2 linked regions of the Saccharomyces cerevisiae S288C genome follow. The protein of the gene in region 1 binds, or shares a complex with, the protein of each later gene. Each region holds a gene or a part of one and is shown on either strand. Other genes may lie near its edges. A codon is read from its position in the direction of its gene.

The links.
Region 2: the proteins of CTF19 (region 1) and OKP1 are in contact, whole or in part, in a cryo-EM structure (PDB 8OVX), measured with the Saccharomyces cerevisiae proteins. Residues at the interface, in NP_015307.1 of Saccharomyces cerevisiae: Glu246 (codon at 2,595), Lys249 (codon at 2,604), Ile250 (codon at 2,607), Lys253 (codon at 2,616), Phe300 (codon at 2,757), Leu316 (codon at 2,805), Pro317 (codon at 2,808), Met318 (codon at 2,811), Ser319 (codon at 2,814), Ile321 (codon at 2,820), Ser322 (codon at 2,823), Ile323 (codon at 2,826), Gln334 (codon at 2,859), Ile335 (codon at 2,862), Asp338 (codon at 2,871), Tyr342 (codon at 2,883), Leu344 (codon at 2,889), Ile345 (codon at 2,892), Lys346 (codon at 2,895), Glu347 (codon at 2,898), Tyr348 (codon at 2,901), Gly349 (codon at 2,904), Val350 (codon at 2,907), Thr352 (codon at 2,913), Glu356 (codon at 2,925), Asn359 (codon at 2,934), Asp365 (codon at 2,952), Met366 (codon at 2,955); in NP_011695.1 of Saccharomyces cerevisiae: Leu296 (codon at 2,757), His297 (codon at 2,760), Pro298 (codon at 2,763), Val299 (codon at 2,766), Leu300 (codon at 2,769), Asn301 (codon at 2,772), Lys302 (codon at 2,775), Gly321 (codon at 2,832), Pro322 (codon at 2,835), Thr324 (codon at 2,841), Phe325 (codon at 2,844), Asp328 (codon at 2,853), His330 (codon at 2,859), Glu331 (codon at 2,862), Leu332 (codon at 2,865), Asn333 (codon at 2,868), Leu334 (codon at 2,871), Met335 (codon at 2,874), Leu336 (codon at 2,877), Asn337 (codon at 2,880), Pro339 (codon at 2,886), Ile340 (codon at 2,889).

Annotation. Positions count from the first base shown.
Region 1 is NC_001148.4:515,792-519,546, forward strand, and holds CTF19 (Ctf19p), read left to right. Parts: upstream 1-1,859; coding exon 1,860-2,969; downstream 2,970-3,755. Other genes in the region: VTC3 (vacuolar transporter chaperone), read right to left, coding at 1-1,227; IRC15 (Irc15p), read right to left, coding at 2,943-3,755. UniProt on the Saccharomyces cerevisiae protein: Component of the kinetochore, a multiprotein complex that assembles on centromeric DNA and attaches chromosomes to spindle microtubules, mediating chromosome segregation and sister chromatid segregation during meiosis and mitosis.
Region 2 is NC_001139.9:853,175-856,766, reverse strand, and holds OKP1 (Okp1p), read left to right. Parts: upstream 1-1,871; coding exon 1,872-3,092; downstream 3,093-3,592. Other genes in the region: ribonucleotide-diphosphate reductase subunit RNR4, read left to right, coding at 466-1,503; PBP1 (Pbp1p), read left to right, coding at 3,552-3,592. UniProt on the Saccharomyces cerevisiae protein: Component of the kinetochore, a multiprotein complex that assembles on centromeric DNA and attaches chromosomes to spindle microtubules, mediating chromosome segregation and sister chromatid segregation during meiosis and mitosis.

The sequences.
Region 1 (3,755 bases):
AATAAAGTTTTGGATGTTATCAAAGTCTCTAGAAAGTTTTTCCAGTTCCTCCTTTTGAGTACCCCTTTCTCTTAGTTGATTAATTAAATAGTTTTTGTAACTGGGATCATTTTTAAAAATAAAATTGTTGATGAATTTGGCTTTCATTTGCAATCTGATTTCTTCAAAACTTGAATTACCAGTTTCGGTATTTTCTGTAAAAGTTCTCTTTTCCAAAAATATGTCAGGTTTGTCTAGCAGTTTACCGATCCATCTTAATCTCAGCGTAGGTGCACCGCTGATTTTCAACAATCTGTTATTGTACAAATCAAAAAAATCGTTGTCGAAATATAATGTAGTGATTGTTGGATCATATGACTGTGGGAAAATAACGCTCTTTGATTTTCCAATTTCAACATCTTGGTTGCTATTACCATCACTAGAAAGGCTGTTACTCTTTGAACCAATATTCAAGCGCGCTTCAGGTTGTACGCGGACATCTGATTCTAGATTATCGACGAAATCGTCATTTTCATTTGGAACCGACGCATAAACCAAAGCAGGTAGATGCCTTAAGATTCTAGCCTTAACCTCCATTATATTATCATCATGAACCCAAAACTTGTAGCTTTTAAAACTTGCGTCTTCAAGGTTAGAAAAATGTGATAATTTAGAAGTACTTGCTAATGATTTAGACACCGTATTTGGATGATCATAATTTGATCTCAAGAACTCGTACAGATATGAGATCCTATACAACAAGGGAGAATACTCTTCTGAATTGTTGAAAGGAAGTTCTTTCAATCTGACTTGTAAAAGAGACTTTACAGAAGGATAGTTTGGATGTAATTTATCGTGTTTCTTCACAATCTTGATAAACCCAGTAAAATTTAACCTGTCAAAGTTATCCAATCTTTGAGCCTCATCTAGACATTCTTCTAAGGTGTTTTTGAACTGCTCAGAATTTATTTTTTGGATTTTTTCAGCTGATTTAGTGTTTTCCTCTAAATCATCTAATTTTCGCAAGACAGCATTATATTTGGAAATTTGAAATGTGTAAACCTTTTCTAGTTCTTTATCCAAGGCCTCCACAAAATCAGATTCATTCCTTTCGGACCAACTATCCACGGAACTACGGCCATCATGTATGACGCTTTCCTTTAGTAATTTCTTCAACCTTTCATAGTCGATATATGAATCCTTCCAGGGAGGATATACGTCGTTAGCCAGTTTAATACCAAATAGCATTTTCAAACTCTGAAAACCAAGGACAAATTCTGCTGTTCGCTCTAATAGCCAAATGACCTATAGTGATAATAAAAAAAGCGCTAAGGAGGTACTACTTGGATTAGATCACTCTTATGCGTATTATTACCCGCCAATGGGCCCTCTCGATATTGAGAAGATGAAGTAAGTTCGAGAAAAGATGTCTGATGTAAGCCGCTCTCTGGCCTCTATTTAAAAGTTCTTCCTGGATGAAACCCACTCGAAAGTTGGGTGTGTGCGTGTGTGTATGTTTCCACGTTTCTGCCTTGTGCTTTCAAAATCGCATGCACGTGCTTGCGACTGCACTGTGTTGTATTAAGCCACGTGGGCCCTCGCACATTGAAAAAAAGAAAAGCTGTACAGGGAAAAATGTGCCAAGAAGTCCAAATACCAATAGCTGTGCAAGTTACTCATTAACATCCAAACCGTGAAGGTCACGGCATATATACTCTGGCGTTCTACTATGTGGCCGGTAATGTAACCGGTAATGGTGACTATCTAATAGTTGGAGTCCGCCGAAAAATCAGAAACGCGTAATTTAGACTTATATAAACAGCTATATACCTTGGAGCTAGTGTGATCTTGTTGATACTAGGTCGGCAAAGAACGCAAATATGGATTTTACGTCTGATACGACGAATTCGCACGACACATCGAATTCGCATTTAAGTCTGGAAGACGCTGTGGGTACACATCATGCTGGTGAAGCAGATGTAAACATTGATGGGGACGAGAAGCAACAACTATCGCTATTAGATGATGATCAGGTACGCGCACTGAAGCTACAGGAGGAGAAGGATGCGCTGTTGACAAGGAGAAATACTCTTTTACAAGAGATCCAGACGTACCAAAATATCTTGATGAAGGAAAATAACAGTAAGACTAAAAATGGTGATATCCTCCAAAACGATATCACACAGGATTTTCTTAATCTAATCTCGATCTCATCCTCTAATCCTAATTCGGCGATAAGTGACCGCAAGCGGGTCGAGAGGATCAATGGGCTAACTAACTTGCAGAAGGAACTAGTAACAAAATACGACACGTTACCTTTGTTAAATATGAATCTACGGCTAAGTTATTTGAGAGACCACACATACCCGCATCTTCAAGTTTCTGTGCAATCAAGAGACAGAGTACATAACGATGGGATTGAAGTTTTGGTGGTCAATTATAAATTCTGCAGAAACACGATGAATCCTTTTGAAATTCAGTTCAAAATGTTCTATAAATTTGAAGATTCCACACTGCTGAAGTGGGAAATCTTGCGAATTTCCACAAACGTTAGACTGAAGGCCAAGCAATTACTGGCAACACGTAACTTCCAGAAGTGTCTATTAAGCCTTTATGAGTTTGATAAGATCAAGTCCAAAAAAACTGGAATTTTCCAAAATTTGATTAATTTATTGAAAAGGAAAACCAGGTGTTATCTAATGAATAATAGTGACTCATTAATTGTGGAAAGAGTTATTAGAGAAGGAAGACTCACGACGATAAAATTGCAGATAAATTTCATCATTACAATGCCCGGTGAGAGAGGCAAACCTCGTAACTGTTTTCTGCCCATGAGTAAAATTTCAATAGCGCTATGGAAGGGGGGAGAAAGATTTAACCAGATAGATTTGGACGAGATATGCTACGGACTTATCAAGGAATATGGTGTGAAAACCGGGTTAAAGGAGATCTGCAACGTTTGCCTATTCCCGGACATGTACGCCAGGTGATGTTCCATTTGCCATTGCCAACTGGACGGCTTGCTTAAACGATTCCGATAAGCTCGGATGAGGGAACGGTACTTTACAGACATCATGGGCGGTAAGGCCAAGCGACACCGCCATCGATGCTTGCGACAGCAATTCATTTGCATCGTCGTTTATCATATGAACGCCTAGTATTTTCATGTCACGAGAATCTATCAGAACTTTAATGAAAGGAGAAACTGTAGTATTCTCTTCCCGTGGTAATAACGTGTTATATCTAACGTTCTGTGAGAACAAAACCCTGCCTTTTTGATATGGGATGCGAGCCTTTGCCAACCCCTCCTCAGTGTATCCGACCCAGCCAATCTGAGGCTGACAGTACAGCACATTTGGTGGGAAGCCACAATTCGAGGTTCCGTCGGAGCCTGTACAGCCTATTGATTGAATGGCCCTTATAGCTTGTTCTTCCGCTTTCAGCGCCAGCATGGGGCCCAATGTAACGTCTCCTATGGGTTTAATATGAGGGTACTTTAGCAGACTTTGGGTTTGTACGTCAACATTTTCTACAAAATCCCGTTCGTCTAGACCAATGCTGGAAATATCTAAACCTTTTAGCAGGGGACGTCTACCAATAGAAACCATCAAGACGTCGCAATGATGTACATATGTTTTCTTTGACACCTTGTTAAGCAAGGTGATGTTCAGCTGACCGGCAGCATCGGCTTCCGCGAGCTGCACTCTAGTGTCTAAAAGAAAAGCTATACCCTGACACTGCAAGAGGGTCTTCGTGGCAGAAGCCAACTCATTGTC
Region 2 (3,592 bases), on another chromosome or scaffold:
CTTTTCAGCGTGCGAGAACCACGTTTTGGCAGTTATTGTTCACCACAGCGTCTCTTGCCTTCCCGATGGGCGTTGTTGTGGCAACACCATCCTCTTTGCTTACTGTAATCGGTAGACGACGTCCGTTCCTTCCTTGGTCTCATGAAGCTCTGGCGTATAAAAACGGCGATTGAATCTTCAATGTTCCTAAAGTTTCATTCCTTATCTCTCATTTTCTTCATTTTTTGTCTCTTGGCTTTTCGATCAAAAAAAGACTATCAATAGATACATTGGTTTCTGACCCCACCTCTGTCCCCTTACACTATCAAATTTCACTTTTTTACTTTTTTTTTTTTTGCAAAAGGCCTTGTCTCGAAACAGAAAGAAAAAAAATTCATTTAAAAAGGGAAATAAAAAATTGCTAATACAAAAACAGATCTTTTTGAGCCACACAACCCCGCGCAACGCACACAATTAGTTATTACAATGGAAGCACATAACCAATTTTTGAAGACTTTCCAAAAAGAACGTCATGATATGAAAGAAGCTGAAAAGGATGAAATCCTTTTGATGGAAAACAGCCGTAGATTCGTGATGTTCCCTATCAAATACCACGAAATCTGGGCTGCTTACAAGAAGGTTGAAGCCTCTTTCTGGACTGCGGAAGAAATCGAATTGGCTAAGGACACTGAAGATTTCCAAAAATTGACTGATGACCAGAAGACCTACATCGGTAACTTGTTAGCCTTGTCCATTTCTTCTGACAACCTTGTCAACAAGTACTTGATCGAAAACTTTTCTGCCCAATTGCAAAACCCTGAAGGTAAGAGTTTCTACGGGTTCCAGATTATGATGGAAAACATCTACTCTGAAGTTTACTCCATGATGGTTGATGCCTTCTTCAAGGACCCTAAGAACATCCCTCTATTCAAGGAAATTGCCAATTTGCCTGAAGTCAAGCATAAGGCTGCTTTCATCGAGAGATGGATTTCCAACGATGACAGCTTGTATGCTGAAAGACTAGTAGCATTTGCTGCAAAGGAAGGTATTTTCCAAGCTGGTAACTATGCTTCTATGTTCTGGTTGACTGACAAAAAGATTATGCCAGGTTTAGCAATGGCCAACAGAAACATCTGTAGAGACAGAGGTGCCTACACTGACTTTTCATGCTTGCTATTTGCCCATTTGAGAACCAAGCCAAACCCCAAGATCATTGAAAAAATCATTACCGAAGCCGTGGAAATTGAAAAGGAATACTACTCAAACTCTTTGCCAGTAGAAAAATTTGGTATGGATTTGAAGAGCATTCACACCTACATAGAATTTGTCGCTGACGGTCTATTACAAGGTTTCGGTAACGAAAAATACTACAACGCCGTCAACCCATTCGAATTCATGGAGGATGTCGCTACCGCTGGTAAGACCACCTTCTTTGAAAAGAAGGTTTCCGACTACCAAAAGGCCAGTGACATGTCTAAGTCCGCTACCCCATCCAAGGAAATTAACTTTGATGATGACTTCTAAGTCAACGACGGGGTGCGTTCTTTTATTCTTGGCCACTTTTATTTATATATATTTATATATACCTAGGTACAGTATAACTAAACTTAAGTAGAAAAATTTAAAAAGAAACTACAGTTTTTTTTTATATTTATTATGACAATATTTGCCATTTTCTTGTAGGTAGATAAGGGAAAGATTCAGAGAGTACCATCATCCCGGTCATTTCATTTAAATAACATATTTTTGTTACCCGGAGAGTCACAATACGGTCCACCCATTTGTTTACTACCTCGAAGTTAATACAGATAGAGGTACATAGCAACAATGGATGAGGTAACTTGCACCCTATGGACGAATAATTCAAGCGATACTAGTGCTACGTATACTGTATGGCAGCTGATAGAGATAATTTTTTACAAAATATTGAAAATGATTCAATTAACAATGGCCAGGCCATGGATCTGTCACCCAACCGAAGTTCCTCTGAAAGCGATAGCAGCATTCTCATGAATGTGAATGATATTAAAACTTTACGTCTGGACGTAGCACCAGAAGCTAAAAGCACCCAATCAAAGAAGTCGCTTTTTTATGAGAACTCTGATGATGCTGAAGAAGGAGAAATAGAAGAGCGCACGAACAAAGAAGAAGGACAATACCATCATAAAGGATCTAAACAACTTCGATTTGAGGTTGGCAAGGAAAGTACAGGTAAATTGCAATCTCATCTATCGGATGGAAGCGCAACAAGTGGAGAGGGCAATGTACGACCTTGGGAATTCAGGAAGGTAATACAAGCTGAGTATAGAGAAAGGTTGCCGCGCAATTATGAATTAAAGCATTGGAAAAAGCCTTCTAAAATAATGATAGGATCCATACTTCGTTTATTAGAGACTAACACTGTAAGCGCTCTTGATTCTGTCTTTGAGAAGTACGAAAAGGAAATGAACCAAATGACGCATGGCGATAATAATGAGGTTAAAAGAATATATTCTAAGAAGGAACGTTTGCTTGAAATAATCCTCACAAAGATAAAGAAGAAGCTAAGACAGGCCAAATTTCCCTCTAGGATATCGGAAAGAGATCTAGACATCGAGTATATTTATTCTAAGCGACAATTTATTCAAAACCGGTATTCACAAGAACTACAAAATAATGAGAGATTGGAAGCAATTCTTTCACGTGAACAAAACCTTTTGGAGGAAACTAGGAAGTTGTGCATGAATTTAAAAACAAACAACAAGAAACGACTCACTGAGAAGCTAATACAAAAAGATCTGCATCCAGTACTTAACAAAGCAATGGAATATACATATGGCTTAGAATCTACTAATGGATTTATGCATCCTGATGGCCCAGTAACTTTTAGAAATGATAGCCACGAATTGAACCTGATGTTGAACGACCCCATAAAAAGTACAGCCGATGTGAGGCTTGATAAGGAGGAAGTACTGTCGTTGTTACCTTCTTTGAAAGAATATACGAAGAAATCAAAGGAACTTAAGGAAACAATGGGTCAAATGATTTCGGATTCACATGAAGAAGAAATCAAAGAGGTTTTTGTACCGCACCATGAGTCGCACCAAGATAAGACCGAAGAAGATATACACTAGCGATAATCCATTGTTTCAGAGTTTACGATTACGATGCATATAACTAAATATTTGATATATAATCATGCACTATTAGCATCCGGGTTACGTAACTTCTCCGCCAACGAGCCTCAGAAAACCTTGGAGAGCCACAACAAATTATGAAAAACTGGAAAAAAAAAAAAATAAAGAAGGAAGGAAAGCTCAATTGGGAGGCACTTTCTTTACTTGAGATTTGCGTTTTTGTAAAGCAGTTCTTAAATCGGCATCTCTCATCGCATAGATCTTTAAGGAAGATATAGGTCATTCACTCGCGTTTTCTTCTATCTTTCTTTTTGTTCTTTCCAGAAGACGTTTCGATTATTTCCGAATTGATCTTGAAGGGGAAGCAATAATTAAATCTTTGAAAATTGATTTGATATAAAAACTGACATCCTCAGTCACGGAAGTAATTAAAGGAGTTCATTACATTGAAACAATATGAAGGGAAACTTTAGGAAAAGAGATAGCTCCACCAACTC